Linked DNA regions of Canis lupus familiaris. The protein of the gene in region 3 interacts with the protein of the main gene of each other region in a pairwise test. Links are inferred from orthologs where the notes say so. Each region holds a gene or a part of one and is shown on either strand. Other genes may lie near its edges.

What was found.
Region 1: the proteins of CRY1 (region 3) and PER1 interact in binary tests that used the Homo sapiens proteins (3 or more experiments, as listed by UniProt). The link is inferred for Canis lupus familiaris from reciprocal best matches to the Homo sapiens genes CRY1 and PER1.
Region 2: the proteins of CRY1 (region 3) and ARNTL interact in a two-hybrid assay, tested with the Homo sapiens proteins (3 studies listed by BioGRID, with this or other methods). The link is inferred for Canis lupus familiaris from reciprocal best matches to the Homo sapiens genes CRY1 and BMAL1.

What each region holds. Positions count from the first base shown.
Region 1 is NC_049226.1:33,160,226-33,170,521, reverse strand, and holds the end of PER1 (period circadian protein homolog 1), read left to right. Parts: intron 1-308; coding exon 309-387; intron 388-464; coding exon 465-571; intron 572-726; coding exon 727-880; intron 881-968; coding exon 969-1,077; intron 1,078-1,171; coding exon 1,172-1,303; intron 1,304-1,530; coding exon 1,531-1,636; intron 1,637-1,740; coding exon 1,741-1,912; intron 1,913-1,997; coding exon 1,998-2,128; intron 2,129-2,340; coding exon 2,341-2,517; intron 2,518-2,942; coding exon 2,943-3,185; intron 3,186-4,101; coding exon 4,102-4,712; intron 4,713-5,138; coding exon 5,139-5,325; intron 5,326-5,496; coding exon 5,497-5,686; intron 5,687-5,977; coding exon 5,978-6,128; intron 6,129-6,486; coding exon 6,487-6,774; 3' UTR 6,775-7,384; downstream 7,385-10,296. UniProt on the Homo sapiens protein: Transcriptional repressor which forms a core component of the circadian clock.
Region 2 is NC_049242.1:36,905,727-36,916,871, forward strand, and holds part of ARNTL (aryl hydrocarbon receptor nuclear translocator-like protein 1), read left to right. Parts: intron 1-697; coding exon 698-777; intron 778-5,213; coding exon 5,214-5,306; intron 5,307-6,716; coding exon 6,717-6,834; intron 6,835-8,558; coding exon 8,559-8,708; intron 8,709-11,145. UniProt on the Homo sapiens protein: Transcriptional activator which forms a core component of the circadian clock.
Region 3 is NC_049231.1:32,822,378-32,833,522, reverse strand, and holds part of CRY1 (cryptochrome-1), read right to left. Parts: intron 9,752-11,145; coding exon 9,567-9,751; intron 9,190-9,566; coding exon 9,101-9,189; intron 8,538-9,100; coding exon 8,397-8,537; intron 8,316-8,396; coding exon 8,004-8,315; intron 6,436-8,003; coding exon 6,284-6,435; intron 6,048-6,283; coding exon 5,845-6,047; intron 5,740-5,844; coding exon 5,644-5,739; intron 1-5,643.

The DNA.
Region 1 (10,296 bases), on a different chromosome or scaffold from region 3:
TTTTGGGACAGAGAAGGTACCGGAAGGAAGAAGGTTTGAGGCCGTTTTTAGAGGGTTTGAGGCCGTTTTTAGAGGGAACATTGGACGAGCACCAGGAGCTAGGAGCTGGGAAAGGAGTATGCTTTGATCTTCAGGTTCACTCTGGGTGTGGAGTAGGGGAATTCTCCAGACCCTCTTTGTAGGCTACACAGCCCCGGGCTGAGCTGTGGGGAGGATTGCCAGCCAGCTTGAGCCCTAGGTGGCATGGGCGGGCAGGGAAGCTGGACCCTTCTGGAGAGAACCCAATGGCCACGTTTGCTGTGCCTCAGCTCCCCGGATCCCCCCTGACAAAAGGATCTTCACCACTCGGCATACACCCAGCTGCCTCTTCCAGGATGTGGATGAAAGGTGAGCTCAGGACCTGGAAGAAAATGGGGTGGCCAGGGCTGAGGCCATGGCCACTCTGATGCCACCTCCCTTTTCAGGGCTGCCCCACTGCTGGGCTACCTCCCCCAGGACCTCTTGGGAGCTCCAGTGCTCCTGTTCTTGCATCCCGAGGACCGACCCCTCATGCTGGCCATCCATAAGAAGAGTGAGTTCTCTCTCTCCTGCTCTCCCTTCTCAGCTATCTGCAGGGCTTCTCGATGGCCATGCTTGTGGTTGTATCTTTCGGGGCCTTGGTCTCCCAGGTCCCCAGGGGGTGGTCCTCCGTCCTGCTGAACCTCACCTCATTTCCCACCCCTACAGTCCTGCAGTTGGCTGGTCAGCCCTTCGACCACTCCCCTATCCGTTTCTGCGCCCGCAATGGGGAGTATGTCACCATGGACACCAGTTGGGCCGGCTTCGTGCACCCTTGGAGCCGTAAGGTGGCCTTTGTCTTGGGCCGCCACAAAGTACGCACGTAAGTGGGCCATGCCCCAGGGCTGGCTCCATGGGCTGCGTCTCTGCAGGAGGGGGCAGGCCTCAGCTTACCCTCCCCCACCCCACAGGGCACCCCTGAATGAGGATGTGTTCACTCCCCCGGCCCCTAGCCCGGCTCTGTCTCTGGACTCTGATATCCAGGAGCTCTCGGAGCAGATCCACCGGTTGCTATTACAGGTGAATGTGGAGGGGTGGGGCTTGGAAATGAGGAGATGAGGTAGGGGTGGGGAGCAGGGCTGAGCCATCTAACCCGTTTGTCCTCCTGCCTCAGCCTGTGCACAGCCCCAGTCCCAGTGGGCTCTGTGGAGTGGGCCCCATCACTTCCCCAGGCCCTCTCCTCAGCCCTGGCTCCTCCAGTGATAGCAACGGGGGTGATGCCGAGGGGCCTGGGCCTCCTGCACCGGTGAGTGTCCCTCCTCCACTCCACCCTCCAGGCTTGCATTCCCCTGGTGCTCTCAGAACCATCATGGCCAGGCCCAGAGGAGCTCAGCCCCATCTCTCTGCCTTTTCCTTCTGGTCCTGCTCTCACCATGGCCTCCTCGCCTGCTCACTGGTACCTCTCGCTACTCTGTGCCCTGGGCTTCTGATGTTGGCTGGACGCTCCCAATGCTGGCCTGCTCTGTCGCACAGGTGACCTTTCAGCAGATCTGTAAGGATGTGCATCTGGTGAAGCACCAGGGCCAGCAACTTTTTATTGAGTCCCGTGCTCGGCCTATGCCCCGGCCCCGCCTCCCTGGTGAGTTGTTTGGGGTGTGGGTGAGGAGTGAGACCTGGAGGTTCCCTGACTTCCACCCCAACCCAGACAAACTTGTCTCTCTGTTTTCTCTGTCCTTGGCCCAGCTACAGGCATGTTCAAGGCCAAGACACTTTCTGGTCAGTTCCCGGACCCAGAACTGGAGATGGTCCCTGCTCCAGGCCCAGCCCCACTCACCTTGACCCCTGAGGAGGCTGAAAGGAAAGAAGCCTCCAGTTGTTCCTACCAGCAGATTAACTGCCTGGACAGCATCCTCAGGTGAGGCCACTGTGAAACCTCCCCACTCGGGCCCTGGCTCACCCCACCTCTAGCCCCACTCTCACCTCCTCTGCCGGCCCCACAGGTACCTGGAGAGCTGTAACATCCCTAGCACGACCAAGCGTAAATGTGCCTCCTCTTCCTCCTGCACCACCTCATCGGCCTCCGACGATGACAAGCAGAGGACGGGTCCAGTCCCTTTGGGGACCAAGAAAGGTAAAGACCTGGCGTGTGCCCTGCCCCTGCTGCCCTGTCCTGCTGGCTCTGTGTCTCTACACATCTGCCTTTGGGGCCCCCCACCTTCCTATACCCTGTCCCCCTCTGGGCCTTCAGATATGCAGACTCCTGCCTCCTGTCCATGCCCTCCACCCCTGCCAGATTTCTTCTTCAGATCTCCTGGGGGTAACTGGCACCATCTCTCTGCACAGATCCACCGGCAGTGCTGTCTGGGGAGGGGGCCAGCCTGCAGAAGGAGCCAGTGGTGGGAGGCGCCCTGAGCCCGCTCGCCCTGGCCAATAAGGCAGAGAGCGTGGTATCTGTCACCAGCCAGTGTAGCTTCAGCTCCACCATCGTCCATGTGGGAGACAAGAAGCCCCCGGAGTCGGGTATGGGCCTGGCGTCAATTCGCACACAGAGCCTAGGATGGGGGGGGGTTCAGGCGTCAGGTGCCTGCAGTGTTTGAGGGTAAGGGCTGTCGAAAACTCCCAGAGGGTCTTTGGGCATCATCATACATGTGAGGGAAGGGTGAAGGGTGGTGAGCTTTCCTTTGGAGGAGAGAGGAGAGGCATGGAGGTGTCACCCTAAGGCACTGTCACTGGAGGGGACTCTATTCTCTCTTGCTCAGGACCACTTTGCACAGAAATGAGGGCCCAGAACGGGTCCTCAGTGGGGAGGAGGTCAAGAGATGCACCTGGGCCCCGGCTTGGCCGTGGGGCAGTGGCCAGGGGTTGGCTGGGCCACTGAGGGGAGGCTGTGGTGTGGCTGCAGGAATGCCTGAGGTAATTCCAATGACCTGTCTCCCCTTTCTCAGACATCATCATGATGGAGGACCTGCCTGGCCTGGCTCCGGGCCCAGCCCCCAGCCCAGCCCCCAGCCCCACGGTAGCCCCTGACCCTGCCCCAGATGCCTACCGCCCAGTGGGCCTGACCAAGGCCGTGCTGTCCCTGCACACACAGAAGGAGGAGCAGGCCTTCCTCAGCCGCTTCCGAGACCTTGGCCGACTGCGGGCGTTCGACAGCTCTTCCCCGGCCCCCCTGGCCCCTGGCGAGCGAGGTAGCCATCCAGGATGTCCCTGAGCCTTGTCCTCTGCTCAGTCTAGGACCAGACTCTCGGGGGCCAGGGGGTGCTTGAGGGAGACAGTCCTGCTCCAGGGCCCTGGGCTTGTGCTGCCTCCATTGCCAGGGCCGGGCTTAGGGACAGGCCCCCAGCTGGCCTCTCCCCACAAGGCTGGGGTTCTGGGCTGCAGCCAGAGGAGGGCAGCCCTGAGGGGGGCTGGCACTGAGACAGGCAGGCAGAGTTGCTCTGCTCCAGGTAAGCAGTTTTAAGCCGAGTTTGGGGCCAGGGGCCAAAGGACGCCCTCCTATGACCAACTTGTCGCTGGTTAAGAGACCCATAGAGACTCCTGGTTGAAGTCAGGCCAGGCGAGCTGGGACACCTCCCGCTGGGGTTGGGGCTTCAAGGGCAGGATGTCAGCCCTCCAGGTGCCTGAGAGAGGCTCCCTGCAGGCGGACACAGGACCTGGGACTGGGCTTTCCCGCCCGCCTCATCGCTCGAGCTAGGCCGAGCGCGGCCTCGACGGGCAGGAGGAGCGCCCAGGCTGGCATTGCTGTGGGAGTTTGGCGGATGGACCGGAGCCGCCTGCCCCCTCATCCGCGGACCCGCCCTGCTTCCTCCCATCGGCCGACGTGCCCCCGTCTTCCGTACACCCCCAGCTCCCCACCACCTGTAACTTTTCCTCTCCTGGCTCCTTTTGCAATAAATCCCCGTGGCCCTGCCTCCTGTGATTCTTCCCTGAAGGTTCCCTCTCCTTCCCCAGGGTCCCTCCTTGTTCTGTGTGGCCCGGGGGCCGAGCTCTTCCTGGGGCCCTCTCCTGCCCTCACCCTGGTCGGAGTGGCAGGGCAGTGAGGGTGGCAGGGATGCCGACGGCCAGGTTGAGGCCCTTGCTGATAACCCTGGTCTCTCCCCACAGGCTGCCACCATGGCCCTGCTCCCCCCGGTCGCCGACACCACTGCCGATCCAAAGCCAAGCGGTCACGCCACCACCAGACCCCCCGGGCCGAAGCCCCCTGCTATGGCTCCCACCCGCCACCTGTGTCACCCTCCGCCCCCTGGCCCCCCCCACCTGCCACTACTCCCTTCCCGGCTGTCGTCCAGCCCTACCCTCTCCCGGTGTTCTCCCCTCGGGGAGGCTCCCAGTCTCTTGCCTCTGCCCCTACAGCTGGGCCCCCTGCAGCCTTCCCTGCCCCGCTCGTGACCCCAATGGTGGCCTTGGTGCTTCCTAACTATCTGTTCCCTACCCCGTCTGGCTACCCCTATGGGGTCCCCCAGACGCCTGCGGAAGGGCCTCCCACCCCTGCCTCCCACTCCCCTTCTCCGTCCCTGCCCCCACCACCCCCCAGCCCTCCCCGCCGGTCGGACTCGCCTCTGTTCAACTCGAGATGCAGCTCCCCGCTCCAGCTAAACCTGCTGCAGCTTGAGGAGCCCCCCCGTGTTGAGGGGGGTGCCACGGCGGGGGGCCCTGGGAGTAGTGCTGGGCCCCCGCCTCCCAGTGAGGAGACTGCTGAGCCAGAGGCCAGACTGGTGAGCACTGACCCCCTGCCCTGTGTCCTTTCACCAGCTCCCACTTAGCCCCCTTCCCTCCTTCTTCCTCCTCCTTGCACATGTCCCTGACCTGTGTCCTGTGTCTCACTGTCTCAGTCTCCAGAAGATGGTGTCGTAGGGTGGGAAACCCCAGCTAAATTTCTGAAGGAGGCAGAAATCCACTGCCTCATCTGTGGAGTGGGGACAGTCCTGTCTGACAGGTGGCGAGGACATCCCAGTAGCTTCTGAGAGCACTCCTGCCTCCTAGGAAGGGTCCGGCACCTCGTCCCTGCTCTTCCCCAGCTGGCCTTGCTGTCATGGGGTGGGAACAGGGAGCACTGGGCCCAGCCGTGTTCCCACCACCCCCCCAGCCAAAGGAAGCCTTGGTGTTGATCTCTTGATCCTGTCCTGTCCACCCCCCTCCAGGTGGAGGTGACAGAGTCCTCCAACCAGGACGCGCTGTCCGGCTCCAGTGACCTGCTGGAGTTGCTGCTGCAGGAGGACTCTCGATCTGGCACAGGCTCTGCTGCCTCGGGCTCCTTGGGCTCCGGCTTGGGCTCTGGGTCTGGCTTAGGCTCCCATGAGGGAGGAAGCACCTCAGCCAGCATCACACGTGAGTGCCCCTCTCCCTCCCCAAACGCCTGCACCTCAGGGCAGGGCAGTGGAACGGGAGGCCAGGCCCTCCTCCTGCAGGCCTGGGGGGCTGCAGACATGGCCTTGAGCAAGGGCTCACTGGTGGGTGCAGTGGCTTGATTCTGGTGGCTGCCCCCCCTTTGCTTCACAGGCAGCAGTCAGAGCAGCCACACGAGCAAGTACTTTGGCAGCATCGACTCTTCAGAGGCTGAAGCAGGGGCTGCTCAGGCCAGGGCTGAGCCTGGGGACCAGGTCATAAAGTACGTGCTCCAGGATCCCATCTGGCTGCTCATGGCCAACGCTGACCAGCGTGTCATGATGACCTACCAGGTGCCCTCCAGGTGAGGAGTGTTAGAGGCCCCCTCTGTCCACCTCCCAGTCCACCCTCACTTCCCACCGAATTTAGGGGGTTCTTTTCCCGGGCTGGCTCTGCCCTAGGCCTTCCCGCCCTGCCCCCTGCTCCTCGGAGCCCCACCATTAGTTCCTTTCAGAACAAATTTTCCTGGGTCTTGGAAGCCCTGAACTCCCTGAGCCCTGGTTGAGGGCAGGAGGCATGGGTGGGAAGAATAGTAGCCTTGTGGGCTCTGGTCCTGGCTCCTAGCCTCTACCGTCCAAACCCCCTCCCCGGGCAGGGACATGGCCACTGTGCTGAAGCAGGATCGGGAGCGGCTGCGGGCCATGCAGAAGCAGCAGCCTCGGTTTTCAGAGGACCAGCGCAGGGAACTGGGTGCTGTGCACTCCTGGGTCCGGAAGGGTCAGCTGCCTCGGGCCCTCGATGTGATGGTGAGAGACGATAGGATCGAGGCTGGGGGCTGATCCCCTCCTTGTCCTCGGGGGGCGGGGGGGGGGGGTTGATTCTGAAGGATGTTTGCTGCAGGGTTAGATAGCATTTAACCACACGAGTCTTTGTAGACCTTTTCTGGGCCAACGCTATGCAGATGGACACTGTCTTGTGGTGGGTTCTAGATAACAGGGTACAGTACACTTTCCCATCTTGTTGGCCCACATGCATGTGTGTAGACGAGTATATTTGTTTGGGAGGACATTCTGGGAAGTGCTCCTGGGCTGGGGGACACGAGGAGCTGGGGTGGCAGGTGAGCAGTGAGAATCCCTCCTGACTTCTCCCCTTTCTCCCTCCAAGGCCTGCGTGGACTGCGGTAGTAGCACCCAAGACCCCGGCCACCCCAATGACCCCCTCTTCTCAGAACTGGATGGACTGGGACTGGAGCCTATGGAGGAGGGTGGAGGCGAGGGCGGAGGCGAGGGTGGAGGTGAGGGTGGGGGTGGTGAGGGTGAGGGCGGAGAAGAGGCCCAGGCTCAAGCTGGGGCCAGAGTCTCCAGCTCTCAGGACCTGGCAATGGAGGAGGAGGAACAAGGGGGGAGCTCATCCAGTCCAGCCTTACCTGCCACAGAAAATGGCACCAGTTAGACCACATTTGGGGGCCCCCTCCGAGAGTGCATGAGAAGCTTCCTTCTCCCATGTTCCACCTCTCAGAACTCGGATGTGGCTGGACCAACCAATAGGAGACTGGCCTGGCTTCTCCCACTTAGGGGGCGGGACCCCCGCCAGCAGCCCAGGGTACAGGGGCTGCCAGGGCTTCTGAGGGGGCACAGGGTGGGATTCATAAACCCGGCCCAGAGAAGCCTCATTTCCCACCTCTGGTGAAGAGCCCTTCCTTCCCCTGGGCAAGGTTGCTGACAAGCTGCTGAAGTGGTCTCTCCAAGTCCCGGCTGAGCCCAGTCCCGGCTGAGCCCAGTCCCGGTCCCTGAGGGTTGGGGCTGCACTTATTTATTGGGGGGAGACAGCTCTCTCTCACCTCCTCCCTGGGTGGGAGGAGGAGGGCCTGAGGCCCAAACAGGACCCAGCGGTCCAAACCCCTAGCTGCTCCAGGGTGGGGGAGGTTGGTGGACCATGGAGTCCCTGGTGCTGCCCCTCAGGTGGGACCCAGGTGTTCTCAGCTGTACCCTCTACCGATGGCATTTGTGTTTTTGATATTGTGTCTTGTTATTTTTTAATACAAAGAGAGAAAAACAAACCACCCCGGCCTTTGTGGAATGAAATGTAGGGTTGGGGGGAGGTGTGGCCCCGCTTTCGTGTGTGTGTGTGTGCGCGCGCGCGCGCCCGCGCGCGCGCAGGGAGAGTGACCGCCCCCTGCCCTGGTACCCCCAGCCCTTGGCGCGGGGCACCCCTGCGGGCAGAAGGGCCTTGCCCTGCCTGTAGCATCTCCTCGGCCCCGGGCGGCTGGTGCCGTCGGGCTCGCCCGCAGAGAGGGGAGCCCGCCCGGCGTGCAGGGGCCCCGAAGCAGGTGAGGGTGCTGCTCTGGCACCGGATCCCACGCAGCAGAGGGCCCCGTCGACGGGGGCTATGGGGCGTCAGCTCACGTACCCACTCAACGCTCCGGTTGGCCCCCCGAGGTGTGGGGGACGGCCGGGGCAGAGCGTCAACCCTCCGGCTCGGACCTGGGAAGGGTGTGGGGAGGTCATGGAGACCCGCGGGACCCGCAGGAGCCATCGTCTTCAGGCTGCGTCTCATTTCCCGAGTACTCCGATAGCTCATCTACCTCCAGAGGCAAAGCGCCTTCCGCCGGCGCCGTGGCTTAGCTGGTTAAAGCGCCTGTCTAGTAAACAGGAGATCCTGGGTTCGAATCCCAGCGGTGCCTGGTTCCGTAAGAAGCAGTATATTATTGCTGCGAGAGCACCGCGCTTCCAACCCTCTCCAGAGCCTGTGGGTGGCCAGCGCCTTCCGGAAGATTCTTATTCTTCCCCAGCTGATCCCACTTTGAGCTGCCGCTCCGCGCACTTTTAGCGTGAATCCGGAGCCTGACACCCCACTTTGCTTCCAGGAACCGGGGTGACGCGGGCATCCCGCGTTCGAGGGCGTGGGGCCCGGGGCTCGGGCTCATTTTGCCGGGGCCGTGCCGGGGCGGTGCGCGCGGAGGGGGGGCGGGAGCACCGCGGCCCCGGCAGGGGAGGCGCGGGCGGTTGCAGGGGGAAGTGCGGGCCGCGGCGCACGCGCACAGCCGTCCCGGGCGGAGGGGCGGGGTCGGCGGGAGGCGGGCCCGTTGATAGGCAGCTATAGTGGCGCAGGCCCCAAGCCGCACGCGGCTGTGATGGCCGAGTGGTTAAGGCGTTGGACTCGAAATCCAATGGGGTCTCCCCGCGCAGGTTCGAATCCTGCTCACAGCGTGTGTACTTTTGGGAATGCGTGCGGAGGAGAAAGCTATTTGTTTTCCTAGTGCTGCCTTCCCCCCGGGGAGGAGGACGCCGCCCGTTCCTCGGAACCTCCCCCCGCCCCGCCCCCGCTACCAGCCCTTCAGCGCCCCTTTGCGGGCCCCACGCGCCGGTGTGCACCTCCTCTTACGGCTGTGCCTGAAAAAGGCACCTCACCACTAATTTGACTTCTTGTCTTCAACCGACTGGGGGTGTGTGTGTGTGTGTGTTCTCGGTGCTACTGGGCCATCGTATTGCATTCCCTTTACCTCCCCGCAAGTCTCCCTTTGACTGTTTCATCCCTTCTCCTTTCACCCTAGACCATGAGTCCATCCTTCCTCCCTCAGTCTCATTCCCTGTGTCAACTGAGAAAATAAGGCTTTCTGGATAGATGTCCCCTCGATACCCACAGTCGCACCTGCCTACCTACCTGGCTGCCTACCTGTTTGTGGTTCCACTCCGGTCCTTCCCCCTCAGGGGTGTGGGTGAGCCTTCCATCACCTAACCCAGGCACCCAGGCCCACCCCTAAGCTTCCTAGAGCTCCCATTCCCTGCCCCACAGGGGCTCAAGGACATTGCACCGTCACACTTTTCCTCTCTACTTGGATCACTTCCACCAGCCCGCACACATACCCAAAGGCATCCCGATTAGCAGGACACCAGAAGCTCTCCTGAAACTACACAATCCCCCTTCAGCTACCACTCTGTCTCTCTGTTCCCCTCTTCTGCAAAACCTGGTATAATATACCCACTCTCCCCCAATTCCATCTTCCCATTCTCCTCTGAACCCTCTCTAATCAGGTGCCTCCCCTACCCCATCCACCAAAGATGCTCTTGCTAAGGTTACCAAATGCCTATGTGTTGCTAAATCCATCGATCACTACTTACAGGTGCTTACTCTCCCCTTAGAAAGGCTCTCTTCACCTGCCCTCTGGGACACCCTAAGGCCTCTGATACTCCTTCAACATCATCAGCAGCTCATGCACAGACTCCTTTGCTGGTTGATCACCTTCTGATCTCTAAATGTCAGAGAGTGCCCAGGGTTCAGCTTCCCAACCTCTTCTCTATCTGTACTCACTCCCTTAACGATCTCTTTACGTATCAACTAATAATATATTAACACATCCAATATGTTCATCTTCAGCCCCACAACTCTTCCCTGAATTACAGATGCATATATACTACCATCTACTTATCATTCCCACTTGGATATCTAATATCATTTCTGTTTGTGATATCTGATCACAAACAAAATGGCCAGACCAACTCCTGGCTTCTTTCACCTGTAGTCTCTCTATCTCAGTAAAGGAAAGAAAATTCCATTTCTTCAGTAGGTCAGACTAAAAGCCTTAGGATAGTCCCCGAGTCTCTCTTCCTCACACACACGCTGCATTGAAGCAGTCAGCAGTTTCTTATTTAAAAGATGTTAAAATCACCACGTCACCATAACACCCCGGTCCAAGCCACACACATCTCTCACCGAGATTCTTACAATAGCCACTAAATTATTTCTTTGCTTCCTTTCTTGTTCCTTGTTCCTTTACAGTCTGCTGGGAACATACTGGGCGTAGTGATCCTTTTAAAACATGAACCAGGTTCTGTCATTCGTCTCTTCACCATCTTCCCGTGGCATGTTGATAGGAATTCATGGTTTTCAATGTGTGTAGATATAGAAATAAATGTATGTTATAGTAACATATAAACATACATACATAAACATAAGGATATATACATCTATGTT
Region 2 (11,145 bases), on a different chromosome or scaffold from region 3:
CCCCGTGTGCTGTGAATCATGGACCTTTTCTGTTTTATTTCTTCACTGTTCTGTTTTTGCGGATTCCAGGTCATTTGCTGCTGGCATTTTTCTCTTACTGTTCTCCGATGCGATGCCAGACTGACGGCCTTTTAAGCATCTTGTCCCCTCTCAGCCCGAGGACCCAGAGCTGTAGTCACTTAAGTGATGCATTTCTCTGGGTTGCCAAGCTCATTTGCCTCGTCCGATGAAGAAGCACTCCCACCAAACGCCGTCTACAATGTATTTATTTACTCAGGGCCTGGCAGCCTGGATGATTTCCCAGGAAGGCTCAGCGTGACGATTTGAGGGACTGCTGGTCAACCCATTTAATGTCAATCTTGGGAGGAGGGAATCCTCCCAGGACCCTCTGCCGCTTGGCTTCCGGTGCTGCCTTCTCTCTTTGAAACAGATTTTTCCTTCTGTCTATTACCTCTTGGCTCCCCTCCAGTGGCCAGAGCAAACTCGCTAGGTCCCCTGTGGGCAACAGTGTTGTTTTTTCAATGGCTTCTGTCCGAGGCCCGATCTAGCCCTGTCTCTGTTAAGGAAAAAGAAAGTAAGATTGAAGTTCCAGGTGGCAGGGGCCAGGCCGCATCTGGAAGGGTGGAGGCGGTGAAGTGGAATGAGACGTTACCTGAATAGAAAGTGGACCAACTCTTTCTCTTTTCTTCTCCCTAAGGTGCCACCAATCCATACACAGAAGCAAATTATAAGCCGACTTTCCTGTCAGATGATGAATTGAAACACCTCATTCTCAGGGTATGTCGCAATTACGAGCTTGTTTTGTACACACTTTTATGAATTTCTGGGTGAGGTACCAGCCTGTGGGAATTTGATGTCTAACCTTTGGACCTTCTGAGGCCCCTCGTCTTTTGGGTCTCCACCTCTGTCTGGACAGTCTTCACATTCTTTCCCTGAGGTCTTCCTCCTCCCCTTCCACGCTTGCTTAGACAAAAATGGAAGGCCCAGGCTACTGTGGTTTTTAAATAGAAGGATGCAGGATTTTGTCAAAAATAGGTAGTGAAGAATCCCATTCCCGCATGAAGGCTTTAGAAAAGGATGGACACCGATAATTGAGCATTTGTCGTCTTCTCACTTAACCGCTGGCGCAAAAACATCCACATCTACTCTTCCGCCAAAACCCCATCAAAGCAACAAAGCTTCCAAAGACTCCTCTTGCCAAGGAGGAAAAGAAATGGGGGATGCGAGGCTCTCCCCTCCTGGCCGTAGCGCTCACTTCATCTTGCTCCTCTCTGCGGAGAGGCCGTCGAGGTGGCGCCATGCAAACTTGGCTTCCGTGTGGGATTGGGTCTGCCTCTGGGTAGAGTGAGATCAACTTGGAAATCGAAGGGAAAGAAACAGGATTCAGAAACCTGTCCTCTTGTAAACTATAAAAAGAAAAACAGAAAAACCTAACTGAAGGGAACTATACCAGCCTCCTTCCCCCCACAGCCAGGGTGGACCTTGCTTGCTAAGCTCCTACAGTATCTGGGCACCTCTCTTGAGCAGACATTTGCCAGGCCTTGGGACACCAGGCCCACTCTGTTGTCACCCTGACTTTCAGCTCTGCCGGGCTTCCGGTCCTCTGTACGTCTGGCCTGTGTGCTCACTCCAGCATTCTCTACCCATCCCTGCCTCGCGTGTTATCTTAATTGGAAAGCTTTCAGCTGCAAGGAACAGATGACCTGATGAACAAATGGGGTTTTGTTTCCCAAATATAGCTGGTCCTGGGGTAGGCCATGAGGGGGTGGTGGCTCCGTGAGGGCGGCCAGAACCAGGCTCTTCCTGTCTTCGAGAACAGTCCTGCTGAGCTAGTGTACAGCTTGCTTCCTCAGTGTAGCCACGCCAGCCAGACACAAGGGGCAGCGCAGTGTCTAGCCCAGCTGTCCCTCTTCTCAAGAAAAGCTGTGCCTTCCTGAAAGCCCGATTGTAGATGTCAGCTTCTCCAGAAGATGTTACCTGATGACCCCTAGCTTCAGGGCAAGGATTTAGATTTTTCCCGCCATCATAGTAGAGGCAGGCGAGGGTCCCCCATCAGCATTTGCCACACACACTTTCCAGAGCCACAGCCATTTGCTAGATTTTCCTCCGAAAGTGGCTCTCACCACCCAGTACAGAGCGTCAGCTGTGGTCTGGTTGGCCTGGGATGGCATGGGCCTGGTGCCTTCCTTGCCACAGAAGCCATCCTATTAGTGCCACGTTTTGGGCCACTGTGATACCATCCCTCCCATTCCTGTACATGGATTATTGTTAGGTCAGGTTTTGTCCATCCTGTATAGGTGCACTTGGGTTTTTTGAACTTCTGTTTCTACCAAAGTCTATTTATTGGGTGGCCCTATGTTCCAGGTGGTCATTAGTGATCCTTCGAAGCTGCTTGCGATAGGTAGATCCCACAGGCAGGCCTGGTGTGTCTTTCGTTTTTGAGACTTAGTTCTGTATGCACGGCCCTTGGAAAATCCAAGTCCACAATAAACACGTTGGGGGCGGGGGGGGGGGGGTGTCCCAGCAAGTTTGGGATGGTCCTTGGGCCACCTCTGCCAGGGCACAGTTACTCTGACGCAGCTCTGCACTGCCCTCTCCATCCTCCTTTCATAAGGCTGGCCCGGTCCTCAGGGAGGACCTGCTGCAGTTAAGCTACTAACTGTGTCGGCAGCAGCTCTGGAGAAACCACCAGGGCTGGCTTCATGGGCACGCACCCTACGCAGCCACACGGGGCCCAGCGCTTGTTTTAATGTCCTGCTCTTGCTGTCTGGAAGATCCTGACTTTTGAACCAGGGCCTCTGCATATCCATTCTGCACTGGGCCCCGCAATCCCGGGACAGGGCCTGATTGCCGTACTGCTGATTGGATGTCTTTAGGGGAAAAAAATGAATGTGTGTATATACACAAACGGGTTTGGTTTTGAACACCTATAAAGTGTACGAAGCCTGTGTTCTCTATAGGTTTCTCTCTGTATGTATCTTTATAGATCTACATGTAATATATAAAGAAGCTCCCTTTGCAACAGCAAATGTTTAATAACTTGCTCCTACTTTTCTGAATTTCCTGTCACATGCCCACACTTGCCAGGGTATGGACCAAGGATTTTCATGCCGTTTAAGCTAAATACTTCATCTCAGGCTTGCCTTTCCTGTGCTTCTGCATCCTGCAGCATCAGTGGTGCTGGGTCTCCCCCGATGAAACCTCTCTGTCCCCTGCCCCACCCCTGGCACCTGCCTGTGGCCATGAGGCACCATCTAATCCCTTGCCATTCCGGGAGTCCACTTCCCAGAACTTTTGTGCACAGACGGCGGGGGCCGCTCAGGTGGTGTTGGAGGGGTGGGCAGCGGGAACTGGACTTGTGCTTTTCCTCACCAGTGCAGGTCTGACTTCTCCACCAAGAGCTTTCAAATGGCTTTGGCAAGTGGCGTGTCAGGGCCAGCCTGGGTGCTCCACCTCCCGTGTTCTGAAAACTAGGCAGGCGCCCCCAGAGCTTTGGCCTGCCTCCCCCGCTAACCCCGTCCTCCCTCGCCAGGGAGCCTGCCCTGTCTTCTGCGGCGCCGTGTGCCCACGGCACCCCACCCATCTCCACTTGTCAGGTGGCCCCTAGGCCCTGGCTCCTTCACCTGGTGGTGTTTATCTGCCCGGGGGAAACAGAGTCAGGATGTTTGGAGCCTTCCCTATAGGCTGACGGGAGCTCACTCTCTCGCCCTGGATGGGTTGCAACCCACTTTGTTCCCATCAGGGGTTCAGCATTCCCTCCAGGATGTCGCAGGCACCTCTTCCGAGTCACCTACCTTTTGTGCTGCTTCCCTGCACCAACGAAAGCCTCAAGACACTTCTCGTGTTAGATGTGAGACTGTCTGCAAGGTGGTGCGCAAGTTATTAATACCCTATTTTTTGACAGAACGAGGCTTCCAGCAGATGGTGCTTGGAAAGTCTCTTCCTCTCCACTGTCCTCCCCTGCCCTGTGCCAGCTTAGGGGGCCAGCTTAGGGAGGGAGCGGCCCCAGCTCCCTTCTGGCTGAGGGGCCTGGCGCCTTCTCAGCGCAGTGGTTCCCCTCCTACTGCTTTCCTGTCTGCACAGGTGCCTGTGCCATTATTTTGCCTCTGGCACACGAATTCATTTCTTAGTTCTTTGAATTAAATTACATCCCCAGAGGCCCCTCTGTGGAAAAGGGAATTGGGTTTCTCTAGATTTTTCCAAAGAACAGACTGAGGACTGGTGAATAAAGCAAGATTAGAACTGTGTTTGCTGAGCCTGAAAGCAAGCACGTGACCGAGCGTGGAGCACCCTCCGCATCCCTGGGAGGCCCCCGGCTGGAGCCGAGCGGTTGTCCGTCCTCAGAGCCCTGGGTGTAGGGTTCACGTGCACCTAGACCCCACGAGCTGCAGCTCTCAGACTCTGCAGCTTTGGTATTTATCCGCTTCAGTCTAACAAATAGCATCCTGTCTCCGTATCTGCCTTTCCTGGGACTTGAGATGTTTTACCTGCATTTAAAGTGAAGGAGAAGGAAAGAGAACGGAGGGGAAAGTTTTGCTTTGCTTTGCTTGCCTTACTTAGGATGTAGGCAGCCCAGCCCCGGATCCAGAAATGATCTTTGAGAGCAGTAGTTCTCCATCCTGTGTACATTAGAATCATTTGGGGTGGGGGTGAGAACGATACTCCTGACCCAGCCCCACCCCAGGCCATCAGCGCGAAAACAGCAGCAGCACAAACACACAACGCGCCGCTCCAGCTGTTGAGAACCATCGGAGAGAGCGCTCCGTAAATGGCAGTGTTCAGGCTGAGGGCCAGGGTGGCCGGGATATCGGGAGGGGGTTTTGATGTAAGGGCTCCTTTCGATCTCAGATTCTATGATTCTACATAGTTACAAGTAACAAAATAAAACAGGACATTTCCAGACCTTGATATACTCCAAGGAAAATTCTTAAAATGAATTCAGTGTTGTAACTGAAATTGCTTCCGTTGGACCGTCCCCCGTATGACGACGACGACGATGATGATCCAAATGTCCATACCTGCCTTTGAGAGAATCTTCTTCTTCTCATGAGGCGTTCCTTTTGAGCGTCCTGGGCTCAGGATGCTTGTGAAACTCGATGAGTACAGTTCTGTGCTTTGGATACTTAGCAGACAAATCCTTAGTTGCTATCAGAGTGATTACAAACCGTGTTTCCTAAAGTGCGGTAAATTGATTATCCATTTCTCCTGATTAGGCAGCAGATGGATTTTTGTTTGTCGTAGGATGTGACCGAGGGAAGATACTCTTCGTCTCAGAGTCTGTCTTCAAGATCCTCAACTACAGCCAGGTATTATTGCTTATGCTTCTGTTGGTGGTGGGCAGCCTCACGGCTGCCAGAAAGGTCACCCCACTTTTTAGAATAATTATAATATACAAGCCACACATAAAAGGCTTATATTATAACTCCCCCCCCCACACACACACACACATACCCAATGCTTCTTCCAGAAAATTTGTAATTTCTTAACAGAGAAGTAAATTTAAACCTAGAAAAAAAAATTTTTTTTTTAAGTTTTATGTATTTTTTTTAGAGAGAGAGAATGCATGGCAGGAAGGGGCAGAAGGAAAGAGAATCTTAAGCAGCCTGCAATCAGTGCCGAGCCTGATATGGGGCTCAGTCTCATGACCCTGGGATCATGACCTGAGCCAAAATCAAAAGTTGGACACTTAACCGACTGAGCCACCGGGGTGCCCCTAGAAAAAATCTTTTTAGTATGTGTTCTATGCTTCCCTCACTGGAAGGTTTGACTGTGATCTCATCAGCAGCTTTATACTTTCTTATTGCTGCACAGTGAATATCCCGCAGCTAGAGAGAGCGGGGGAGGCACGAGGCAAGGGGCTACCTGACCAGGAAAGGCAGATGATAACCAGAGAATGAAACAATGGGGATCCACCCATACTGTGTTTGTGATGATGTATCCCTTTTTCGTTCTATTGAATCTCGGCTCCTTCTAAAAATAAAAAAAAAAAAAAAGAGTGTAATAATACCTTTTATGATTGTTCATAGGATGCAGTAAGATAAGCATGCCCAGAAGCTTCTAGAGCAAAGTTTTTTAAGCAGGGACACTCTGTCCCTAGCATTCTTATTCACGTATCCACCCATGCATCCACTTATTCACTCATTCCTTCACCTGCTGGTGTTTGCATGGGAAGCTGGTAAGGCAGCAGAATTGAAGAATCAAAAGGATATTTGTGTGAACTAGAATGAATGTAAGTTGAATGTATCCAGAGTGTCTTGCTCTTCTTGGTCTTGGGGCAAAGTTATGAAGGCAGTTCTTATTTTCCCTGCTGCCACACAAGGCCGTGGAGGCACACGGTGTGACACAACACCACGAGGGCTCAGTGGGGCTAGAGTCCCCGCCCACACCCTGTGCTCCTAGCAGGGCACTTGTGGCATCCGGAATAAATAACAGGGAACACGTACAGCTGAAAGACTCCTGCCTTCGAGGAGCGTGAACTATTTATAGAAGTATAAATATACGCCCTTCCCCCTCCTGTGTCACGGACACCAAAGTCCCGATGCCTCGCTCCCTGTCCTGTGTGTCCCTAGGCACAGCGATTGGACAGGTTACTTGTTCACACTGGACATATTTGAAATTCCCATGCCTAGAAATACAAACTAAAACGCAGAGCGCCTGTTGGCGAAGTTGTATTCCACGTGCTGTTGACGTGTGGTTTCCACGCTTCCTCCCCACAGAACGATCTGATCGGTCAGAGTCTGTTTGACTACCTGCACCCTAAAGATATCGCCAAAGTGAAGGAGCAGCTCTCCTCCTCGGACACGGCGCCCCGGGAGCGGCTCATAGATGCAAAAAGTGAGTCCAGGAGCAGGCCGCGGCTGCTTCCTCGGGGCCCGCCCGCACGGCTGAGCGAGGACCGCAGCGTGTGCCGATGCGCTCAGCCCCCGGCCTCCCTCCTCTCTGCCCCTTACCTGGGTCACACGTGCTCTCCCGGGCTCAATGCGGTTATCCACCTACCTTCGTATTTGTTTTGCTTTACGTAATGTCCAAATCCACAGGGAGGAAAAACAGCTATTTTGATTCTTTCTGGGTTTTAGACTCGCCCCCCCTCCCCCAGAATCTATAAATTCCCAGTTGTGTGCCCCTGAGTTTAAAGGGCTCACACCAGTTTGATTTGTGCCCCCTGAAAAAATTCCCTCTATTTACTCGAGTTACACTCATGCAGCCTCCTAAGATAAAAGTAAGAAAACTTGAAATATAAATTGGAAGTTTCTTTGGCCAAAGTGGTTCCTCATTAGTTGGGGCCCCCTCCTGGCTTCACGTTCCCCCCCCACCGCTTCTCTCACCCGTGTCCCCCCTCCCCGTCCCTCCTGCGTGAGGCCCTGTAGGTCTTCCCCCATCAGGCTCTCCCATCCGGGGAGTCTGTGTGCTCCGGCAGTTAGGAGCGTGGAGCCTGGAGTCTGGTTGCCAGGCTCACTTCCTGGCTCTACCGTTTGTCAGCTGTGACCTTGAGCAAGTTACTTAACCTCTCTGTGCCTCCGTTTCCTTATCTACAAAATAGTACCGGTTTCGTGGGGTGGTTGCGAGGATTAACTATATCACTATACATAAAGCACATGGGGCAGCTCCTGGCACACAGTGGGCACGGGGTCAGTGCCGCGAGCTCACCGGCCAGTGTGGTCATGGCCCAAGTTTCCTGCTTGCACGCTCCCCCATGTCAGTCCCCAGAGGGAAACGTCCCCAGAGAGACCTCCTTTAAACCATCCTTTTCATTAAGGCACTCCTCTTCCGAAAACTTCAACGTGGCCCCCGGTCCCTGTTGCCTTTTCTAGTCTGGCCCTGGCAATTTTTGGTAGTGACACGAAGAGAAAAAGGAGGTGATGTTTGGTCCTTGCCTTTAAGGCTTGTGCCATACAGTCGAGGAGACCTGGGGCCAGCACCCCACGTGATAGGTACCTCCATAGAAATAGTGCCAAGCAGAGAGAACAGAGGACTCGTTTTCATGTGGACCCGAGGACAGGCATCCCCGAGGAGGTGACGGCTGGGGTGGGTCTGAAAGGAGGAGTCGCGGTGGGTGCACCAGGTGATAAAGAGAAGAACAGAGCGGCGGGGGGGTAGGGGTGGGGGGAGGATCTCAGGATGGAGACGCATCCCCACTGTGTGCTAGGGTGAAAAGGAGCGGGGAGGGGGCCGTGTGCATTCCAGGGAGGCTCAGCCGGGAGGCCCTGTGGGAGGTAGGTTGGAGGGGTGACGTCCAGGAGCAGCCCCGGCAGTGGCCCCCTCTCTGGCTTCTCCCACGGTGGGCGCTCGTTATCCCCGGACAGTCTGCAGACCAGTAGCCAGTGTTCGCAGCAGGATCGCAGTCCCGCTCCTACCGGTAGCTGCTTTCTAGGAGATCTGGAAACCTTTCCAGATTGACAGCCCGCTCACCCGCGTTGCGTCTTTCAGGCGTCAGTGAGGAGGAATGGTCGGTATGAGGCAGTGAGGCAGGAAAGAGGAGGCTTTCTTCAAGGTCACTCTCCCCCTCCTGACAGACAATACTACTCTCAGTTTATCACATTTTGTGTATTGATTTGCAGCTGGACTTCCAGTTAAAACAGATATAACCCCTGGGCCATCTCGATTATGTTCTGGAGCACGACGTTCTTTCTTCTGTAGGATGAAGTGTAACAGGCCTTCAGTAAAGGTGGAAGACAAGGACTTCCCCTCTACCTGTTCAAAGAAAAAAGGTAACCATTTCACTTCTTCACGGTCTTCCTGTAGGGCCACCGGGGCGGCCCGGGTCGCGAGCTCGCGGTCGTGGGGTCGAGCCGCGCATGGGGCTCTGCGCCCAGGGTGGAGTCTGCTTCGGATCCCCTCTCCCTCCCACGCCGTCTCTTCTCTCTTGCTGTCAAGAAAATAAATAAAATCTTTTAAAATAAAATAAGAAAATCCTGATACAGGCGAGGCTGGCTCGGTGCACGGGAGCGCTCAGCACGGTGTTGGCTCAGTGGTCCCCTGCAGGTCCCGGGGGCCGTTGTCCCCTACAGGGTAGGGCCGTTGGGGAGCAGGGGCGATTGGAAAGCCCCGACGGTTGTCACAGTGACAGAGACTCGTGGGAAAGCTTCCTCCGTTTAAATTTTGTTTCCATGTGGTTGAGAAGGAACACCCTGAGCCACGATGCCCGCCGCCTCCGAGCATCCCGCTGCCCGCCGAAATTACTCTTGCCGCATCCACCAATGACTTCCATGTTGCCGAACACAACGGACACTTCATTTTTCTTCCATCTTAAAGTATTTTTTTCCCCTAGGATTCCATGAAACCTCCTACTTCTCGTCTCCCCCATCCTCTGCCACTCTAGGCCTCCTCCCCACCTCCTTTTGCTGGCTCCTCGTCTGTCCTGTGCCACCTTTCTATCTACACGTGATCCGTAGGCCATGTCTTCTCCCTTGGTTTGCGGTGCCACTTCCATGCCGGTGGCTTCCAAGTTTCTATTTCTGGCCCAGGTTTTTCTTTTGAGCTGCAGATCCGTAAGTCGGCTTCTTAAATCTATCTGCTCAGCCCTCTCAAGGGCACCTCAAACCTGATCTGTGCGGAAGTGACCACCGAGCTCCTCCCTGATGTAAATGGCACCACAGCACCTGGCTGCACATCCTGGGAGCTGGAGAGGCGCCCTCAGCCCGCTTCACTCCCTCTTCCAGTCCGGTCAGGTGCAAAGTCCTGCCACCATGAACCCCCTACAGAAGTTATCCGACTGCGCTTATCCACCTACCTCCCCGTTGACCGCATCCCTCAGACCCGGGCTACCCGCCGCTCTCACCGCGGCCGGTGGAGTAGGCTCCTCACACTTGCCTTCTCTCCACACAGCAGCCAGAATGATCTTTTTAAAGCAAACCTGTCTTTGGTTCCCTACTTAAAACCCTGTAGTGTTTCCCATTGCTCTTGGAGAAAAGTCAGGAGTCCTTAACGCGACCGCGACCGCCCCCACTCCACGTGTTCAGCTGTGGCGACTTCCTTTCGATGCCTCCTCCCCCTTTCTGCCATGGTCTCCGACTGGAATGCCTGCCCCCCACGCCTGTCCGTCGGCTCCCTTCAGCCAGCTGGCTGGCCTTGTCCTTTAGAGCCGGGCGTCGGGGTCAGGCCACCCCGGGCCCTCCTGTAGCCCCTGCAGGTGCCCTTGCTAGCACTTTCTTGCAGTTGCACTGTCACTCATTCATACGCTTGTTTGAGTCTGTGTGCTCAGTGCGGCACGTCTGATTGGTCTTCCGGTGACTACCCCGGACCTGATGCTCGGTGAGCGCCCCATAAGGATGTGCTCGTTGTTGAACTCCACAGCTGTTCTGCACGGAATGTGTCCAAGTGAAATCCTTCTCCCTCTTCTCTAAGGCAGACTCCATGTCCTCTCTTCTCCGAGTCCCTGAGCAGTAGCAAACATTCAATCCAAGAAAGGTGGAGTCCCCTTCGTTTTCTTTCTTTCATGCCAAATGTTTTGATATTCCCGCCAGACCCCACGAGTTCTCAGGAACCTCCCGGCCTCCTCGTCCTCACTGCGGGGCCAGAGCACATCCTCACCACCTCTTGCTGTGTGCTTGTCTTACTCTGTGTGCTCCTTGCTCTTCCGGTTTACCTATCGCTCTGCTCCTAGGGTATCCAAACCACAATTTCCTTTGCTGTTTCTCCACTTAAATACCTTCAGAAGCTCTCCATTTCTTGTGTGATAAACACGTATTTGTTAGCAAACAGTCTAAGACCCCAATAATCTGCCCCCAACTCACCGTTCCAGCTCCACCTCCAGCCCTTCCCTTTCCACTTCAGCCACACGGAGCTCTCTATTGTTTCTTGTACGGGGACGGGACGTGCCTCTGTGCTTTGTACCTTCTCAACCTTCGTATATCCTAGTCCCTTAGCCAGTGCTCATCCTTCTTGATCACCTCCTACGTGGTTTTCCTGGGCGGCTCTCCTCTCCCCAGGTAGATTGACTCCTTCCTTGGTATATGCGACGCCCTTGGCATAACCGGTCCTGCTCCACACGTAGGCCCCAGGATGATAGCTGTCTGCTTCTAAATCTTCCTCTCTTGCCAGTTCTCCCTTCCAGAGAGTAGAGCTTTGTTCACTTTTTGACTCCCTTCCCACATCCCGGGCCGCCGCAGGCTGCCCATGCCTGCTTGCCCAGAGCCGTCCTGTCAC
Region 3 (11,145 bases):
AGTCACCTCATGGTTTGAACAAGGCAATCTACTTAATTTCATGCTCAAGTTCCTCTGGATAAAGGATTCAGCTTTTCAGGTACTCCAAATTGGGAAAGTGCATGCCCTGATCCGGGATGAGGTCTTTTACCACTGGAAAGGGATACCTCCATCATAAATAATTAGTATTCCCTGTTGATATTTTAAATCACGTGGTTTGTTTGTTTGTTTGTTTGTTTGTTTGAGGGGGAGGGGCAGAGGGAGAGAGAGAATCTTTTAAGCAGGCTCCATAACCAGGGTGGAGCAGATGTGGGGTTTGATCTAACTACCTTGAGATCATGACCTGAGCCAAATCAAGAGTCAGATGCTTAAGGTCACCTCTAATTAAACTAAAAACACTCAGTTCTTGGACTTGTAAGGTTGAAGGTCAGATTCTGGACTACAGCAAATTCACCACTGAATGGTGCTACTCCTAGTTTTATCATCAGACTTACCCTAATAGTGATACTTGCTGCCTTGCATTATTGTACAAGATTATTTAAAACTTCACATAACAGGGACACCTGGCTGGCTCAGCAGTTAAAGTGCCTGCCTTCAGCCCAGGGCGTGATCCTGGAGTCCCAGGATCGAGTCCCACGTCGGGCTCCCTGCATGGAGCCTGCTTCTCCCTCTGCCTGTGTCTCTGCCTCTCTCTCTCTTTGTTCTCTCATGAATAAATAAATAAAAATCTTTAAAAAAAATTAAAAACTTCACATAACAATGTGAATGTACTTAATTCCACTGAATTGTACATTTAAAATGGTTAAATGCTAAGTTTCATATTGCATATATTTTGCAATCATGGAAACTTCAACAGGGGTGCCTGGGTAGCTAAGTAGGTTGAGCACTGGACTCAGTTTCCGCTTGGGTCATGATCTCAGGATGGAGCCCTGAGTCAGGTTCCCCAATCAGCAGGGAGTCTGCTTGGGATTCTCTACCTCCTTCTCTCCCTCCCCCTGCTCTCTTTCTCTCTAAAATAAATAAATTTTTAAAAAGATTTTATTTTTTTATTCATAAGACACACACACACACACACACACACACACACACACACACACACAGAGGCAGAAATGCAGGCAGAGGGAGAAGCAGGCTTCCTGCAGAGAGCCCGATGAGGGACTTGATCCCAGACCCTGGGATCACGACCTAAGCCAAAGGCAGAGGCTCAACCACTGAGCCACCAAAGCGTCCCATAAATAAATATTTTTTAAAAAAGAAAGGAAATCTCAACAAATACACCTTATACATTAGTCACACTTATACATTTGTCAAGTGCTCCTTTATGCTACAGATTATACCAGGTACTAGGGATACAAATATTACTAAGCTGGGGTGGAGGCTGCTATGGCATACAGTGGGGATACCAAGGAAAGAAAAGTCAATTTTACTGGAAGAATCACAGAGATAGGCTAAATCACGGACTAGTCACCTCATTTTCTCAACTTCATTAATTTTATTCCACTTCCAGTTCTAAGACAAATAAGAATAATCTCATAAACAAAAAATACTGAGTGAAAGCAGCCACATACAAAAAAGAATACAAACAGCAGGACTCTATAAAGTTCAAAAACAGGCAAAAAAAATTATAGTATTAATCAGGAGTGATTAGTTTTGAAGATGAAAGGCAAATTAATAAGCTCAATAAATACATTCAGAATTTCCTTAAGATAGCATTTTATTCTTTACAGAGCTAAATAATAAGTACTCAGAATCTTCCTGTGTCTCTAAATTCATGAATATCTCAACTGCCTATTACTTTCCCATAAAAATACAATAAATTATATTTTCACAAGAATAACAGTATAAGAGACAATGAGTAAAGATCTTTGCTAGACCAACTGGCTTATGACTGGCTACTTAGAAAAATCAGAAATCCCCATATTCATTATGTCTTCAAAGACACTGCAGTAGTTAAATTTCAAATGCCAAGATTATATAAGATGGGAATTTTAGAATGAAAACAACTTTAAAAAACCCATATTTGTTGTTTTTAAAAAAATCCCACATTTTCTAAGGGCAAAAAGTTCATATGATCATACTCCTCTTATGTTACACTGTCCGTAGCACCAAGGGTTTTTCACTCATAAAATTCTAACTTAAAGATATTGTGGAGGGAAAACTGCACAGAAAAGATATTCAAAGGAAATATACCAAAATTTTTATAGTAACTGTCTTTACTGAATGGAATTGTGGGTGATTTTTTTCTTCTTTTCTATTTTTCTGAATTTCCGAAATTATATATAGTGAATAGTTTTTTTTTATTTTAATTTAATTTAATTTTTTTCTAAAGATTTTATTTATTTATTTATTCTTGAGAGACCGAGAGAGAGAGAGAGAGAGACTGGCAGAGACACAGGCAGAGGAAGAAGCAGGCTCCATGCAGGGAGCCCGATGTGGGACTCGATCCCTGGACTCCAGGATCACACCCTGGACCGAAGGCAGGCACTAAACCGCTGAGCCACCCAGGGATTCCCGTGAATAGTTTTTTTTAAAAGCAGTTCTGAGGTACAATTTACATAACATAAAATTCCTGTTTTAAGTATACAATTCAATAATTTTTAGTAACTTTACAGAGTTCTGTAATCATCAGGACAATCCAATTTTAGAACATTTTCATCCCAATTTGCATTCATTCTCATTCCTACCCCTATATCTAAATTAACCATTAACTTCCTTGGTTTATTTTGAAGATACACCTTTTCTAGATAGTTCATATAAATGGAATTGTGCAGTATGTGGTCTTTTATGTCTGGATTCTTTAACTTAATATTTTTGAGGTTTATCCATGTTGTAGTATGTACCAACATTTTATTCCTTCTTATTAATGAATATTCCATTGTGTGGATGTGCCATATTTTGACTATTATAAATAAAACTATCATAAACATTCTTCTGATTCTTACGTCTTTGTGTAGACATATATTTTCATTTTTTTTGAATAGATACTTAGGAATGGAATTTCTGGATTGTATGTTAAATTAATGTTTAGCTTGTAAGAAACTGCCAACCTGTTTCCCAAAGTGGCTGTACGATTTTACAGCCCATCTCTCAACAACATATGAGGGTTCCAGTCTCTTCACGTCCTCCACAACACTTTTTACGGTCTATCATGTTTTAGGCACTGGAGTGAGTTCAGGGTAACCAATTCACTCCAGTTTATCTGGGATTTTTCAAGTGTTAGCACTGCAAGTCCCAGGTCTCAGGAAGCCCCTCAATCCCAGGTAATCAGTGATAGTTGGTTACCCTAAGTGGGTATGAAATATCATCTCTTAGGGGTTTTAATTTGCATTTCCCTAATGACTAATAATGCTAATTACTATTTTTATTTTTTTTAAAGATTTATTCATTTTATTCAGCGAGAGAGAGAGACTGAGAGGCAGACACAGGCAGAGGGAGAAGCAGGCTCCATGCAGGGAGCCCGACATGGGACTTGATCCCAGGTCCCCAGGATCACACCCCAGGCTGCAGGCGGCGCCAAACCGCTGCGCCACTGGGGCTGCCCCGCTAATTACTATTTTTAATAGAAAAAAATTTTAAATAAAAACTAAAACATATTACTATCATAGATTGCGTTTTATCATAAGAACAACAATACTTCAAGTCATCTGTGTACAAGTCATAAAGAACCTTGCCCTTTGAGATACTGTAAAATAAAAGCCTACAAACAGGGTAAGTAGAGGGCATAAAGAAATATGCTACAGAAGTATCTAAATGTCCTTTCAAATGGAACAGAAACCAGAAGGGAGAGAAATGTTTAATCGCATAGTCCAAACCCTCAGGATCTTTCCATAATCACTCTCATTTCCAGGTCCACAATGCTCTCTCCTTCAGCTGCCTACCCAAATGCTACCCAACCCACCATCTTGCAAGAAAACTTCTGTAGTTCCTTAAGTGCTCAATGATCTTTTTTTTCCCCTATTGTATGTGGAAGCAGCATCTTACAATTTATAACTTTTTTCGCCTCATAGCACCTAATACAAAGTGTGTTACAGCCAACTATTTACATGATTAGAGTACTTCAGGATTTATTAATCCTATTATATCATAAAATACATGTGTATTTGTAAAGCAAAATTATTTCAATTTAACTTCCTACCATAATTAGTTTTTATGGTTAATTCCAAATAATAAATACAGATTTGAGTGGAACAAGAGGCAGTCTGTACCATCACCACCCATTAGTTGGGCACCTGATGCCTGTTGCTTCCTACCCTTCTGTTACCTGCCTACTATTTATGTGCTTCACAGAACTTCTGTCCCTCAAATTCATGTATGGACAGAGGAAGCAAGCTGTGAAGTGAACAAGAGATCTGACAAAACTACTAAATTGATATCTTACTGAAGTTCAAATTGTAGGAGACTCTCAGAAGAACACTTCTGAAGTATACTGCCATCACTGACAACTACTAGACATTCCAGTAAAAAAATGCTTGATCTTATAAAAGTACATATGGCATTACATTTGCAGGGGAGGCCCAATAAGGACTTTAGGACTAGTCAGATCTGGATCTGAATTTTACTTACTGTGGAATCATAGTTAATTTACCTAACCTTTCTTGGCTTATTTCCACCACCACCTCCCAGGTTATTGTGACAATGTGGCAAAAATCCCCTTGTACTGTGCACAAAGTAGATAGTTAAAATGAATGTTTTGTTCCTTTCTCCTTAATCTAATTGTTAGAGAATAAATATATGCTCTCAAAAGGATGGAGTGTATTTCTGAATCAGAAAGGCTCAATTTTTAAAATAAGTTTTATTCTTAATATCAATTTTAAACGTGACCTTTTTGGAAAAAAAATAAGCATCCCTCAAATGCTGCCTTGTTTGTAATCAAATTAATTACCATGATGCTATTTTTGTGTTTTTTTTTTTTAATTTTTTTATTTATTTATGATAGTCACACAGAGAGAAAGAGAGAGAGGCAGAGACACAGGCAGAGGGAGAAGCAGGCTCCATGCACCGGGAGCCCGATATGGGATTCGATCCCAGGTCTCCAGGATCGCGCCCTGGGCCAAAGGCAGGCGCCAAACCCCTGCGCCACCCAGGGATCCCCATGATGCTATTTTTGGTTAGAATCTTTGAAAACTGACACAATGATTCACCAGTATTTATTACCAATAAATACTGGCTTCTTGACGTTATTAATACACACATTAAGAATATATGTGGCAACCAAATATTTATCATATAGAAAACCACTATCAATCAGACTGTAAGGAAAAACTCGTGTGCAAAAAGACTAAAGACTATGCGTGTGTATGATAAATCTTTTGGCCATATTCACAGGACCACTGACCTTAACTAATAACCTTATACCTGATATGCACCTAACAAACTAAAAAATAATGAGCCTTCAGAAAATATAAGTTTCATTTTACCCTTAAAATTGCCCTCTTCATTCAGTTTGCAAGATCTTTACCTTGAGCTAAATTCTACTACACATAATGTTTTCCATCTCCCAAATATCACTAATGGAATGAGGGAGGGCGTGTGTGTGTGTGTGTGTGTGTGTGTGTGTGTGTCTGTACACATGTATGCAGAAAAAACATTACAGTGAGACTCAATAAAAATATATTTGATTATTAATCTCTTTATGTTAAGTATAGAAATTTCCTTTTCACTTACTTCCACTGCTGCTACAACCTGGAATATTTTCTCCAGGAGAATACCCCATGAGGCCTCCATTCCCATTAGGATTAGAAGGCACTGATGCAAGAAGACCTAAAGGGAAAAAAAACTCCTATTAAAATATGATCAAGATCAAATTCAAGGATAGGTACATAAACACCTGCCAAAGAAACAAACCAAAGGTAATTACTGACATACCCAGTCCTCTGTATCGTGAAAGCTGCTGGTAGATCTGCTTCATCCTCTCAATATTCAAACGGCTTGCCTCAGCATGATTCACCATTGGTTTAGGATAATTAACTCCTATCAAACATTTGGCTACCTTTTGGATACCTTCTGGTGCATTCCAGGGATCATAGATATATTTTGCAGGGAAACCTCTTAGGACAGGCAAATAACGCCTTTTGGGAGAAGGAAGAAAAACTATTAATAAAATAAACTACAAGCAAATTATAACAAACTTATTATTAGCTATGAATGACCAAAATCAAGTCAATACCATTTAATGATTTGTTTACCCATCTCCTCATCTCTGCTGCCCATGATGAGTGGAAAAAAACCTTAAGTGTTGCTTTAACATGAAACGTTCTTCCTGGATTAGTTATTCCAAACTGAGTAATAATCACCCTTGATTTACCTGATATAGTCTCCATTGGGATCTGTTCTCCTACCAAAACCAACAGGGCAATAGCAGTGAAAAAACTGTTGGAAAAAGGAACTACAAGACAGCCACATCCAACTTCCAGCATTTATGCTCCAATCTGCATCAAGCAATAATTCTTCAAATACCTTCAGAAGTAACAGTAACCAATTAGTTTGTACACATATAATTCTCAAAGCAAGCATTTTCCAGGACTCTGTAGATCAAAAGTCAAGGCAAAGAAAATCTAGCACAGAACTGTAAAATTGAACATTCCAATGTTAGCCTCCTTGTCAATGTTCTATTCTGTACTGAGTTATTTCAGGGAAAGAAAAATATCAGTAGTATAAGTGAATTTCTGAATAGAATTTATCTCTCTGGTCTTTGCAATGTTATTGGGAAGAGGATAAAATAATTACTCAAGCTACTGATTCAATTAAAAATGCAAGAAAAAAAGCAGTAAACACTTTCAAGAAAGCAAAGATGCTACCAAGTAAATAACTAACAAAAACTTAGAAGTTTGATATACTGGTCTACATACAGGGAGCACCCAAATATAAATGACCTTTAAAAATGCACTAGCGAAAAAAAAAAAAAATGCACTAGCAAAAAAGAAAAAAAAAAGGCACTAGCATTATAGAGTTTAAATTTGGAATTCCTTCAGCAAAAGGGAAACAGAATTAAAATGTCTTTTTATAAAGTCATTAAGTGTGTACTATATACATCTATCTACCTCATGTACAACTTTGTACTAAGAAATACAGGAGATGAAAAAAAAAAAAAGAGGATCAGAAATGGTCCTTGTGGGATGCCTGGGAGGCTCAGCGGTTGAGCATCTGCCTTTGGCTCAGGGCATGATCCCAGGTCCGGGGATCGAGTCCCACATCAGGCTCCCTGCAAGGAGCCTGCTTCTCTCTCGGCCTAGATTTCTGCCTGCCTCTCTCTCTCTCTCTCTCTCTCTCTCTCTCGAATAAATAAATAAATCTTTAAAAAAAAAAAAGGTCCCTGGATAGGGAAAATCTAATCCTATTATGTATGACCACAGGTTGATGTCACAAAATGCAGTATGCTTCACTTTACATAATAGATCACTAAAAAGTATAATGTTAAAGTGAGGCAAAATGTTACATAATTTTTATAATATAAATTCATTACTTCTAAGAATTCTTGGGCAAATCCATTTTTGTAACAGAAATGATCACTTATAAATATTTCATCTAATGAGTCCAGTGTGTTAAACCTTATAGTTCCCTTAATGGCCAGGCTGGTTCAGTCTCTGAAATGACTTTAGGTTCATCAAACCAGTTTTCTGGGGGTGCCTGGGTGGCTCAGTCAGTAAAATGTCTGCCTTCAGCTCATATCATGACCCTAGGGTCCTAGAATGGAGCCCACATCACGCTTCCTGCTCAGCAGGGAGCCTGCTTCTTTCTCTCCCTTTGCCACTCCCCCTGTTTATAGTTTCTTGCATTCCCTCTCAAATAAATAAATCAAATCTTAAAAAAAAAAAAATAAAACCAGTTTTCACCATTTTTCCTGTCTGAATACACCATTCTGCTCTCCAAGAGTATGCCTGTGTTAGGGAATTAAAATCTTTACCTGCTGAAAAAATTAGACTATAAATGAATCTAAATAATAGACAATTTCCAGGAATTGTCTTAATAAGGTATAGAGTCCTTCAAAATAAGACTGTGCTAACATTAGTTAGAAGAATACTCACCTTCATTCCTTCTTCCCAACTAATCCACAGGTCACCTCGGGTCAGGAAGCAAGCTACTGCATGTCTGGCTAAATGGTGAATCCAACCCTCCTGACGAAGCTGTGTCATGATGGCATCAATCCATGGAAAGCCTGTCCGGCCTTCTGCCCATTTTGCTAAAGCCTCGGGATTTTTATCCCAAGGAATCTGAACACAGATGGGGTTTCCTTCCATTTTATCAAAGCGTGGATTATTTGTTGCTGCTGTATAGAAAAATTCACGCCATAACAGTTGCCCATAAAGGGAAAGGGGAGGGGAACTATTCTTCTTCACCTAAGGTTAAAAAGCAAAGTATTATTATCAGCAATTTTTAAAGAAGTATTTTGAAAAATAAGCTTCAGTTTTAGACAATACCTTTTTGTAGAGATCTGTGAGTTTGAAGTAAAATAGTCGACATGACAAACAACCAAATCGGAGATAAGGACTGAGTCCAGTAGGGCTAGCGAGCAGGGAATTTGCATTCATTCGAGGTCTTTCAAAGTTTGCCACCCAAGCCTGAAAATACACAGAGAAAATTATGCTAACTAACTGCCTTTTCCATTTTAAAAGAGTGTTTAAAACAGACATATTTTTTAAAGGTTACACAGTTCTTGGAGATAAAATTTTATTTTCCCAGTCACAAACATGTTTTAATAACAAAACACAACAGAATAAATGTGAGCATTCTTCTGTTTCAGCCATCCTCGTGTAGCACATACTCATATGAAATAAATTATATTCAAATTCCTAACACCAAGCTGAGAGGACTTTCAACCTGTCTCCTTGACATTGAGGTAAAGGTGAAATAGAAGAATAGCTTCAAAGTTATGGTCATCAGATACCAGCTTACACAGAAAGAATAGAAGAGGTAGTACTGGTAGTAGATAAAGAGGAAATTGTCAGCAGAGGAGGAAAAAATATTCAAACAAAGAGATGGTTGTTAATTTTCAAACAATTAGGTTTATGCTATTTTAACTATTTTAATTCTTCTGTTTAACAGTCTATATATTGCTTTTAAAAAAGAGTGAATTTTTTTTTAAATGCCAGTTTGGAAATATAAGCATGATCTATAATTATACTTTTCTTTCCAAATGCCTTTCCAAACGTGTAAGTGCTTCAGTTTCTCCGCCTGGCCATACTGCAGAGGGCAAACCATCTGTATCAAAACCTAAAAAAAAAAAAAAAGAAACAGAAAAAAGAAAAAATATTCTTCTAGAACTAAAATAATTTTTATTGAACCATAATAATTGGGAAAAACTACTTTGCAGAAAAATTATGACAGTAGCATAAAAATGAACTGAGGGCCCTGGATAGGTCCTCACATATAAGGATATAACATGGTCTCTATTCTTTTGGACAAACATCTTAAGGTGATAATAGATCATATTTAGAAAACAAATAATGTACAAATTTATCACTTCTTTGCTTAAGAGTTTCTTTTAGACTTTTTTCTCCTTTCCCTTTTAAAGCAAAAACCTTATATGTTAAATTAGAAGTGAGATTTTCTGAGAGATTTATTAACTCTCAAACTTCATTTACACCTACCTAGTTCTTCCAGTGAAGGGACCCCATATTTCTCATCATGGTCATCAGACAGAGGAGTTGTGCACTTTTCTACTACTTCTGAAGTAATTGTCTCTACTGGTATCTCTAGTGGTTCCATTTTGCTGATGAGAGTCTGGAATCTTTTATATGTAAGAGGTGGTTGTCCACCATTGAGTTCGATGATCCTATTACAAAGTTAGTAAAATGCAAAAAAAACAAAAACAAAAACAAAAAACTTAGTAAAATGCAGTTAATATTAAAAAATGATAATATACTTTGTTGATAAGTTCTAAGAATGCTTAAGATCAGAAAACAAAATTAATTACTTAAGACTTCCAGGAGGATATAAACTTCTTATATGACCAGGAAACTTATTAAAATATCTAAAAATTATTCTCATTTTCTAGACATCTGTTGTGTGTCAAAAATATACAGCATGCGAATAACAAAACCTTAAGACAAAGGGTATTATTAAGCACCTATGAGTGATGGCTAAGTTAGCCTAAAGGCAATAACATAAAAGTTATATATATATATGAAAAGGTAAAAATATTACAACTCAGCTCAAAGAATCTCTTAATCATCAGTAAAAACTAAACCAGACCAATATTATACTGAAGGGCAATAAAGCAAGTATTACTAGGATTCTATAACTATAGAAATAATCAATTGCTACTTCCTGTTGTGCTCATCATGCCTTTGTTAAATTTGCCAGCATATATGTCTTATGAACATACTTTATATTTACTTCTGATCACTAAATGCCTCAATCAAGTCATACTAAAAAGAGGATTAGCTTTGCCAATCATAGTGTGCATTAGACACTACTCACGAATAACTAATTATTCTTTTTTACTATGGCCATTTTGCTTGGCATTTAGCCCTAACAAAGAATTACTGGTAAAATCCATGCCATCATTTTATGGTTCAGAAACTAAAGCCTACCAAAAGAGCTAAACGAATTAGTCAAGGTTGCATAATTAATAAATAGTAAATCAAGGTTTTCTTAATCCAAATATAGTACATTTCTTAAAAGTTTTAAATTCCAGTTAGTTAACATGCAGTGTAATATTAGTTTCAGGTGTACATTTAGTACAATTCAACACTTCCACACAACACGAGGTTGCTCATCATAAGTGTACTCCTTAATCCCCACCACTTATTTAACCCACTCCTCACCCACCTCCCCTCTGGTAACCATCAGTTTGTTCTCTATAGTTAAGAGTCTGTTTCTTGGATTGCCTCTCTTTTTTTTCCCCTATTCTTGTTTGTTTTGCTTCTTAAATTCTATTTTTCATTAATAGTGTATAGGAATGCAACAGCTCTTTATACATTGGTTTTGTATCTACATTTTTACTGAATTCCTTTATCAGTTCTAGTAGTTTTTTGGCAGAGTCTTCAGGGTTTTTATATACACAGTATCATGTCATCTGTAAATAGTGAGAGTTTTACTTTTTCCTTAACAATCTGGATCCCTTTTATTTCTTTATATTGTCTAACTGCTGTGGCTAGGACTTCTAGTACTATGTTGCATAAAAGTGGTGGGAGTGGACATCTTTGTCTTATTCCTGACTTTAGG